Linked DNA regions of Nothobranchius furzeri. The protein of the gene in region 2 interacts with the protein of the main gene of each other region in a pairwise test. Links are inferred from orthologs where the notes say so. Each region holds a gene or a part of one and is shown on either strand. Other genes may lie near its edges.

Evidence for each region. The genes of interacting proteins can lie anywhere in the genome.
Region 1: the proteins of chd3 (region 2) and sirt6 interact in a two-hybrid assay, tested with the Homo sapiens proteins (2 studies listed by BioGRID and IntAct). The link is inferred for Nothobranchius furzeri from reciprocal best matches to the Homo sapiens genes CHD3 and SIRT6.

Annotation. Positions count from the first base shown.
Region 1 is NC_091751.1:57,913,008-57,917,106, reverse strand, and holds the start of sirt6 (NAD-dependent protein deacylase sirtuin-6), read right to left. Parts: upstream 2,801-4,099; 5' UTR 2,727-2,800; coding exon 2,661-2,726; intron 2,354-2,660; coding exon 2,226-2,353; intron 1-2,225. UniProt on the Homo sapiens protein: NAD-dependent protein deacetylase, deacylase and mono-ADP-ribosyltransferase that plays an essential role in DNA damage repair, telomere maintenance, metabolic homeostasis, inflammation, tumorigenesis and aging.
Region 2 is NC_091742.1:58,727,771-58,731,283, reverse strand, and holds part of chd3 (chromodomain-helicase-DNA-binding protein 3), read left to right. Parts: intron 1-20; coding exon 21-145; intron 146-221; coding exon 222-416; intron 417-480; coding exon 481-608; intron 609-742; coding exon 743-981; intron 982-1,083; coding exon 1,084-1,217; intron 1,218-1,318; coding exon 1,319-1,448; intron 1,449-3,513.

The DNA.
Region 1 (4,099 bases), on a different chromosome or scaffold from region 2:
AGTCCTGACACATCTTCACTGGCACCCTGTCATTTTCCGAGTACAGTTTAAGGTATTGATTTTTGTCTTTAAAGCACTCAACGAAGAAGAAGCTACAATGATGTTCTGCTGAGCTGTGGTGGCCTCATGGAGGGGGCCATCGTCTAGCACAATGCTGCTAACCACTCAAACATTCTCCCTCTCCTGATAATAACGTTTTGCTTTCCTTGACGTTGGATGTGCTACTGCTAGTTTATCCGTTTAATTATAGATCCACTAGGATAAATACAATAAAGTTTATCTCTCACCAAATAGAATATTTACTAAGAAATCACAATGTAACTATAGACACATTACTGTCTGTCTGTCTGTGTGTGTGTGTGTGTGTGTGTGTGTGTGTGTGTGTGTGTGTGTGTGTGTGTGTGTGTGTGTGTTATACTGAGCCAGGATTCTCTGGAGGTTTCTTCCTGTTAAAAGGGAGTTTTCCTCTCCACTGTCGCTTTATGCTTGCTTATTATGAGGATTGCTGTAAAGTCACTAGTCAGTGACTTGATGCAATTTGCTGGGTTCCTTATATAGGAAACATTATTTCTGATTGGCTTAATGAACTGACCTGAATTGGAATGTTTATTATGTGAAGTGCCTTGAGAAGACTCTTGTCGTGATTTGGCGCTATATAAATAAACTTGAATTGAACGACCTGTCACCTCCTAATCTCTCTGACCTGCTCACTCCCTATGTACCCACGCGCACGTTGAGGTCGGCTGGCCTCCTGCTGCTTTGCACTCCCCCGATGCGTTACAAATCATGGGGTGAACGAGCATTTGTACATGCTGCCCCAAAGCTGTGAAACTCTACCTATTACAGTTCGACAGGCTCCATCATTGGCGGTTTTTAAATCTCGTTTAAACACCCACTTCTACGATTTGGCTTTTACGCCGTGAGTCGTTTTGTTTTATTGTATTATTGTTTTGATGTGTTCTTAGTATTCCTCATGTTTTATTTGCTTTTATTGATCGGCATTTTTATCCTCTGTTGTTGCTGCTTTGATGGGTCGTGATTTGGTCCAGCCTGTGCAGCACTTTGGGCAGCTCCCATGCTGCGTTTTAAATGTGCTATATAAACAAACTATGGTATGGTAAGCTTGTAGTTTCTTGTCTTGTTCAACAGATGTTTAAATGGTAAATGGCCTGTATTTGTATAGCGCCTTCTTAGGGTCATACAACCCCCCCCCCCCCCCCCCCCCCCCCCCAAGGCATTTCACAACACAATCAGTCATTCACAAACTGGTGGGGATGAGCTACGATGTAGCCACAGATGCCCTGGGGTGCACTGACAGAAGCGGGGCTGTGGAGCACTGGCGTCACCGATCCCTCTGACCACCACAAGCAGGCAAGGTAGGTTAAGTGTCTTGCCCAAGGACACAATGACAGTGACAAACTGAGCGGGGCTTGAACCTGCAAACTTCCAATTACTGGACAACACGCTCTACCTCCTGAGCTACTGCTGTGTTTAGAAAAGTGGGCTCGACTCTGTCCGTCCTTGGCTGCCTGTTGGAAAGCCCTCTCAACAATGGATAATGGTGTTGCGTGTTTCCGTACTGACGCAGATGGAAAAGTATAAATTTGGCTTAGGCCTTCCAAATCGTGAGCCATGGTGGGTGAGTCCATGGATGTTAAGAGTCAGTGTAATGTAGATCTGTCAGGCTTTTAAAAACCTAGCATTTCACCATCTATTTTCTATCAGATGCCAATGCAGGAGATAGGTGTAGGAGACTATTTTCATGTTCAGCCTGCATGAAAAACTCTGAGTGACCCATTGTAATCAGAAATACGATTTTAAAAAATGGTTTCCAGTGTTCCACACCTTTAATAACACAATACAATACAATTATTGATGTCAAGTTGTTGTTATTGTTGTTGTTAGCCTCAGGGGCAACATGCCGATTATCACTTGTAAGTCGCTTTGGACAAAAGCGTCTGCTAAATACATAAACATAAACAATACATATCTTCCATCATAAGCTGATTAAGTTGTTCAAAATTAGTTTGCACATATGAGAACCAAGATTTACTCTTTTACAGTCATAAAGACAAAATAAAAGCTAAGAAATCTACCAAATGAGGACCAGCTGTACCACTTTGATGAGTGGAAGATCCGAATTCAGGTGTGTGTGATCACATCAAATGGAAAAATCCGCTAGAATGCTTTTAATCATTAGCAGGAACAAACATATTGTCTCTCACCTGAAGTCAGGGATGCCTGCTGAGGTGCTAATTCCAGCTCCAGAGTGGACAACCAAGTACTGAGATTCTTTAATCAGCTGAGCGAGGGCTTCCACTTTTGCTTTTAGCTCCTCCGGATTATCAAAACTCTGGCACAGATCAAAAACACACAATTAAACAATTAGCAAGGGGGCGACTATTGTATACAACCGTGCCAGATGTGTGGCAACAACAAAAGAACACACCATCATCTATCCTCCACCGTGCTTCATAGTGTTTATGTTAAATAACAAAGAGGCTAACACAGCACAGACGGTCTGCTCTACAACACCGTCTTTATATTATTACTCTTAAACGAACCAAACAAAAATGCATTCTCAATGAAAGCGACGCTACGTTGCTAATTTAACTAGCTCTTTGAAAAGCTCTCGGAGCGATACAACACCTAAATGTTACCTCAGGTAGACCGCAAACACCCTTATCCGCGTAAGGCGATAGTCCTGCAGCGTAGTTCACAGACATGACTGTAACTGTTTATTTTTTTTTTCTTTGTTTTACAAACTGTTCTTGTTTTATCTGTTGCGTATTTCTTCCAGCCAGGTTTAGGGTGCTTCGTTTGAATGACGACATCACTGTGCGCCGACACATGCTGCATTCAAGAACTTCAGGAATTAAAATACCTCAACGTGCGCTCCACCTTCGTTCAGACCAGTTTAGACTTGTGGTAGAGATTAGATTAGACCGTACAGCTGTTAGAAATTGAGTAAAAATTTAAATCCAAATTACACAATGAAACTGAATATATTAGAATAAAAAGTCTGATAATAAAAACTGAAAAATCCCACAGAACAAAACGGTTCGGTGCCTTTTAAAAATGGGATTTAACCTGATCAGACATTCCACAAACAAGGACATTTATTCTCAAACATATCTGTAAAATGACTACATTTAGACTAAAACTAAACAAAAATCTTCCATCTTCACCTGCAGAACAACTTTTAAAAAATCATTTAAATGACTCCAAGCTTTAAAAACAGTATGCATTTTTCTTTCAAATTAATCTTTATTTTTCATTTTTAAATATTTGAGAAAAAAAAAACAGACAGAAAAGTAAAACCATATGGTGATCATTCATACGTGTGCATATTGGATTATGGTTCCTGTAGAAGCTGTGAACTGACACTGAAGACCACCGAAAGAGGAAAGGAGTTGCTCGTCTCAATTGTTTTGTCGCGTATAATTTTATCCTGAGTAATTCAATATGATGTCCCAATTAAAGTAAATAAAACAATAATGCTTACTGAAGACAAAATTACACATAGGACATCCACACACTCTAAAAACAAAATCAAAACCACTCTTACAAAAAAATAAATCAATAAAGGGGGCTAACATTTCATTTTCAGTTGTAGGGCTGAAGAAGTTTGATCTCGGTAGTACACACCGACACAAGACTACCTATTCCAGTGCATGCCGAACATCTAACAAAGAAAAACTAAAATCATAGGGCCTGCAAGAAAGCAAAAAGAGAAACATCTGGCAAAGCGTATTAAAATTTAATTTACACTCTGCTTTAGTTCTTCGGGTCCATCAGGCGGCTCAGAGAGCAACGCTGAGGAGAAATACAATTCTAATCAATAATTAGTTCTGCCCCTCTAACCTTCAACAACTTGATTATTACACAACTTTAATAACAAGTTCATTCAAAAAAACACAACCCCACACTGAGTGACAGAAAAACACATCCAAGATAAAAACCCAGCAGAGATCAATTTCATGTTTTAGTAAGAATGTTCATATGAGGAGCTGACTCAGCAGACTCCAGCAGACGGGACGGCCCTCCATTGCCACGAGTCTCTCATGACGTTGGGAAACAGTCCACCAATTTAAAAAAT
Region 2 (3,513 bases):
CGTGCTCTCTTTAACCCCAGAAGATGAAGTGGAGCTATCAGAGAGAGAGGTCCCGTGCCGGAAGAAAGGCAGACCCAAGAAGAAAGACACAAAGAAGAAAGAGAAAGAGGGGAAGCCGGTCAAAGCAAAAAAACGGAAGAAGATTGTAAGTTTAATGGGTTTTCTGTCCGCATCATTTTCCGTCTGATGACTGAGGTCCCTGTCTGAACCTGTTGTGTCAGTCCACTGTGCAGGACAGCGATGTAGAGCGAAACTCGGACAGAGACTATGGCGGGAACTCGGACAGTGCAGCCAGCGACTATGGCTCTGGAGAGAAGAAGAAAAAGAAGAAACACAAAGAAAGGAAAGAGAAGAAAACCAAGAGGAAGAAAAAAGACAACAGAGACAGAGATAGCAGTCAGGAGGAAACAGCAAAGGTAAGAATTAAGAGTTTGGTTGTCATATAAGTTCTTGGAAAAGCCCGACCTGGTATCTTCTCAGCAGCCTGTGGAGCAGAAGACCTCTGCCCAGCTGGCGAAGGAGTGGGGACTGGAGGACGTTGATCATACCTTCACGGAGGAGGACTACAGGGAACTCACAAACTACAAAGCCTTCAGCCAGTTTATGAGGTACTTTGTTTTTAATATGATATTAAAGTTTGCAAACATCGAGGGTGCTTTGCCACTTCAGGAGGTGTTTAGTAGAGCTTTTCCAGCTTGGAAACCTTGCCATTTTCTTGAGTTTGACCTTCTGCTGGTCCCAGGCCGATGATAGCCAAGAAGAACCCTAAGATCCCCATGTCAAAGATGATGACCATCCTAGGGGCCAAGTGGAGGGAGTTCAGCTCCAACAACCCCTTCAAAGGCAACGCCGCTGCTGTAGCAGCGGCTGCCGCCGCCGCCGCCATCGCTGTTGCCGAGCAGGTTTCTGCAGCGACTGCCTCCCCCGAGCCGCCTCCTCAACCGCCGCCGATCAGAAAGGCCAAGACGAAAGAGGGCAAAGGTCAGTGGTGAGCTTTGGCTCTGTCTGTGTACTGTTTGCCTTTGATCCTGTTTAGATAATCGTCAGAAACAGAGGTGGCAGAGAACCTTCTTCTCTTTCCAGGTCCAGGATACAAGAAACGCAGTAAAAGTCCTCGAGTAGCAGACAAGAAAAAAGCTGTGGCCAAGGCCAAGAAGATGGCGCCCATTCGTATTAAACTATTAGCCATTGGAGCCAAGAGGAAGAAGAGTTGCTCTGTGAGTCCAACCTTCACACGGTGCAGGAAACTCTTCATCTCGGGCGATCAGTAACCAGTGTGTTATTAGTGAATTTGTGTTTGTTGTGATTTGTGCTTCAGAGCGACGACATGGATGAGGAGGAGTCTGAGCAGGAGGACTCCAGCGTTCACAGCTCCTCGGTTCGCTCGGACAGCTCTGGACGGGCGAAGAAGAACAAGAGAGGACGGCCCGCCAAGAAGAAGAAAAAGAGTAAGACAGTTCTGCTTGTGCATTATATTTTACTGGTATAACTGGATATATTGGCACCGAAATGTGAAATGGGAAATGACCAGTATCAGCTTTTGTTCTTTTAATGTCACAACTTCTCCACACTAACACATTTATGCATCCAAGTCTTCAGCTACTTCTTCTCTCACTCAAAGTCAAAATCTGACAGATCTGAGGTTTAGATTTTGAGTTGTTTTTGTTTGTTTGGCACAAAAGGCCCAACCTAAAATGAAGTAGTTGGCATATTTTGCACTGTTACATGCATGATATGCGATAGGCGATGTTACGTAATATGATATTAGTTTGGAGAAATAAAGTTTCATTCTGACTTGACTGACAGGCAAACGGTTAGTTTGAGTAGAGACAAACCCACCCTGGTTCACATTTAAAGTGATTCTTTGAAGCTTTTTCATATTTTCATATGCTTTTCTTGAGCCAGTGTGTGCTAAAATGACCCGTTACGGGGTTATTGAAATGTCACAAAGACCCCCACCGCCCTCTGTGGCCAGAATAGCGTAGAAGCGGAACAGTTTACCCGCGAAAATCGTAGCGAAGCGGCTTCTCTGCTGCGCTCCTCGCTCGACTCGCAGGAACACACGATCCCTCGAGACTTCAAAGGTTACGGTCTGTTTATGCAATCCGCCGTTGAACCAAAATGAAGGAAATCCCGTTGTTATTGCTGTTTGATGTCATATAAGATGTTGTCCCTCTCCAGTGCCAGGATTAAAGCCATGAAAAACACACCGCTGCACTTCAGGAACGATGCTGGGAGTAAATACGTCGTTGGGTCACACGTAAGCCTCATATATATGAATCCCATTGCTGCAGTACTTTTATTTTGAAAATTACTGGGGATTTCACACTGAAACTGTGTGTGATTTCCTGTCTTGCTCTATGTTAACTGTGGAAATTGACGCATCCCAAAAGCGGCTTGTGGAAAATATAGAGCCCGGTCCAATCTTTCCGTGTTTGTTTTGAATCTCGTACAGCGCTTTGATTTGCACTTGCTGTATGAAAAGTGCTTCATAAATAAAGTTTGATTTGATTTGATCTTTAGTGGCGCAGGGTGCCATTTCTGGGACACATCTGAAAATTGCAGCGTCGTGACTGGTTTGTGACACTCCATAGACTTTAATGGATTCTATTTGAAGCAGTGCCGTTCCGCGCCGCTGATGCTTCCAGTGTGCAGCAGGGGTGAAGCCTGATTTATACTTCTCCGTGTGTCAGCACGAAGAAAAGCAATGCCATTATCCGTTGTGGCAACGGCTCTCCAACAGGCTCGCAAGGATGAACAGAGTAGAGCCCTCTTTTCTAACTATCTGTTGAAAGCGACGGAGACCGCAAGCCTGTGATTGGTCAGGACGCCACTTCCTTTAACTTCTCCAACAGCACCGCCATACCTCCTCAAAAACATAAAACGAGAACCAAACATATTAGCTTCAGAGACTGAAGAAAGTCTTGTGCAAAAAGTCCATCGATATAAACATTACACCCGTGACTGAAGGAGTACAAAGAAAGGCTGCAAGCTTTTTATTTGTGTCAGGAAATTATAGGAAAGGTGAGTTTAGAGGTGGTGACTTGATGATGATGATGAGGTGAAGGACAAATTAGTCCACGTTAAACCGTCTCTGAAACATAAACAGAGACGTGACCGCATTGGTGGCAGGAAGCAACAGAAAAGCGCTACGCCCTCTGCTGCACTGGTGGAGAATTGCTTTACAACTAACTAACTTGTTTTTATTTGACTATTTTTTCTGTCCTGTCTGTTTATTATCTTCCTGCATCTCCTCTCAATCCTAAAGAAAAACTGCTACCTGGGTTCATATATATTCACCTCATGAGTTACCTTTGTACTGCAGTTCTAAAAGATCCACCGACCGCAAAAACAGCGGAGTGCGCACTGACCGCACCGGTGAGATGAAATCACCGGAGGACAAAACATGTGATGCACTCCCGCTCCACAGCAGCGAAACGCATCAGGCACAAATAAATGACAGAAAACATAAAAGGAAATGAGCCGACATGAACAATCGCGTGTTAAATTTGT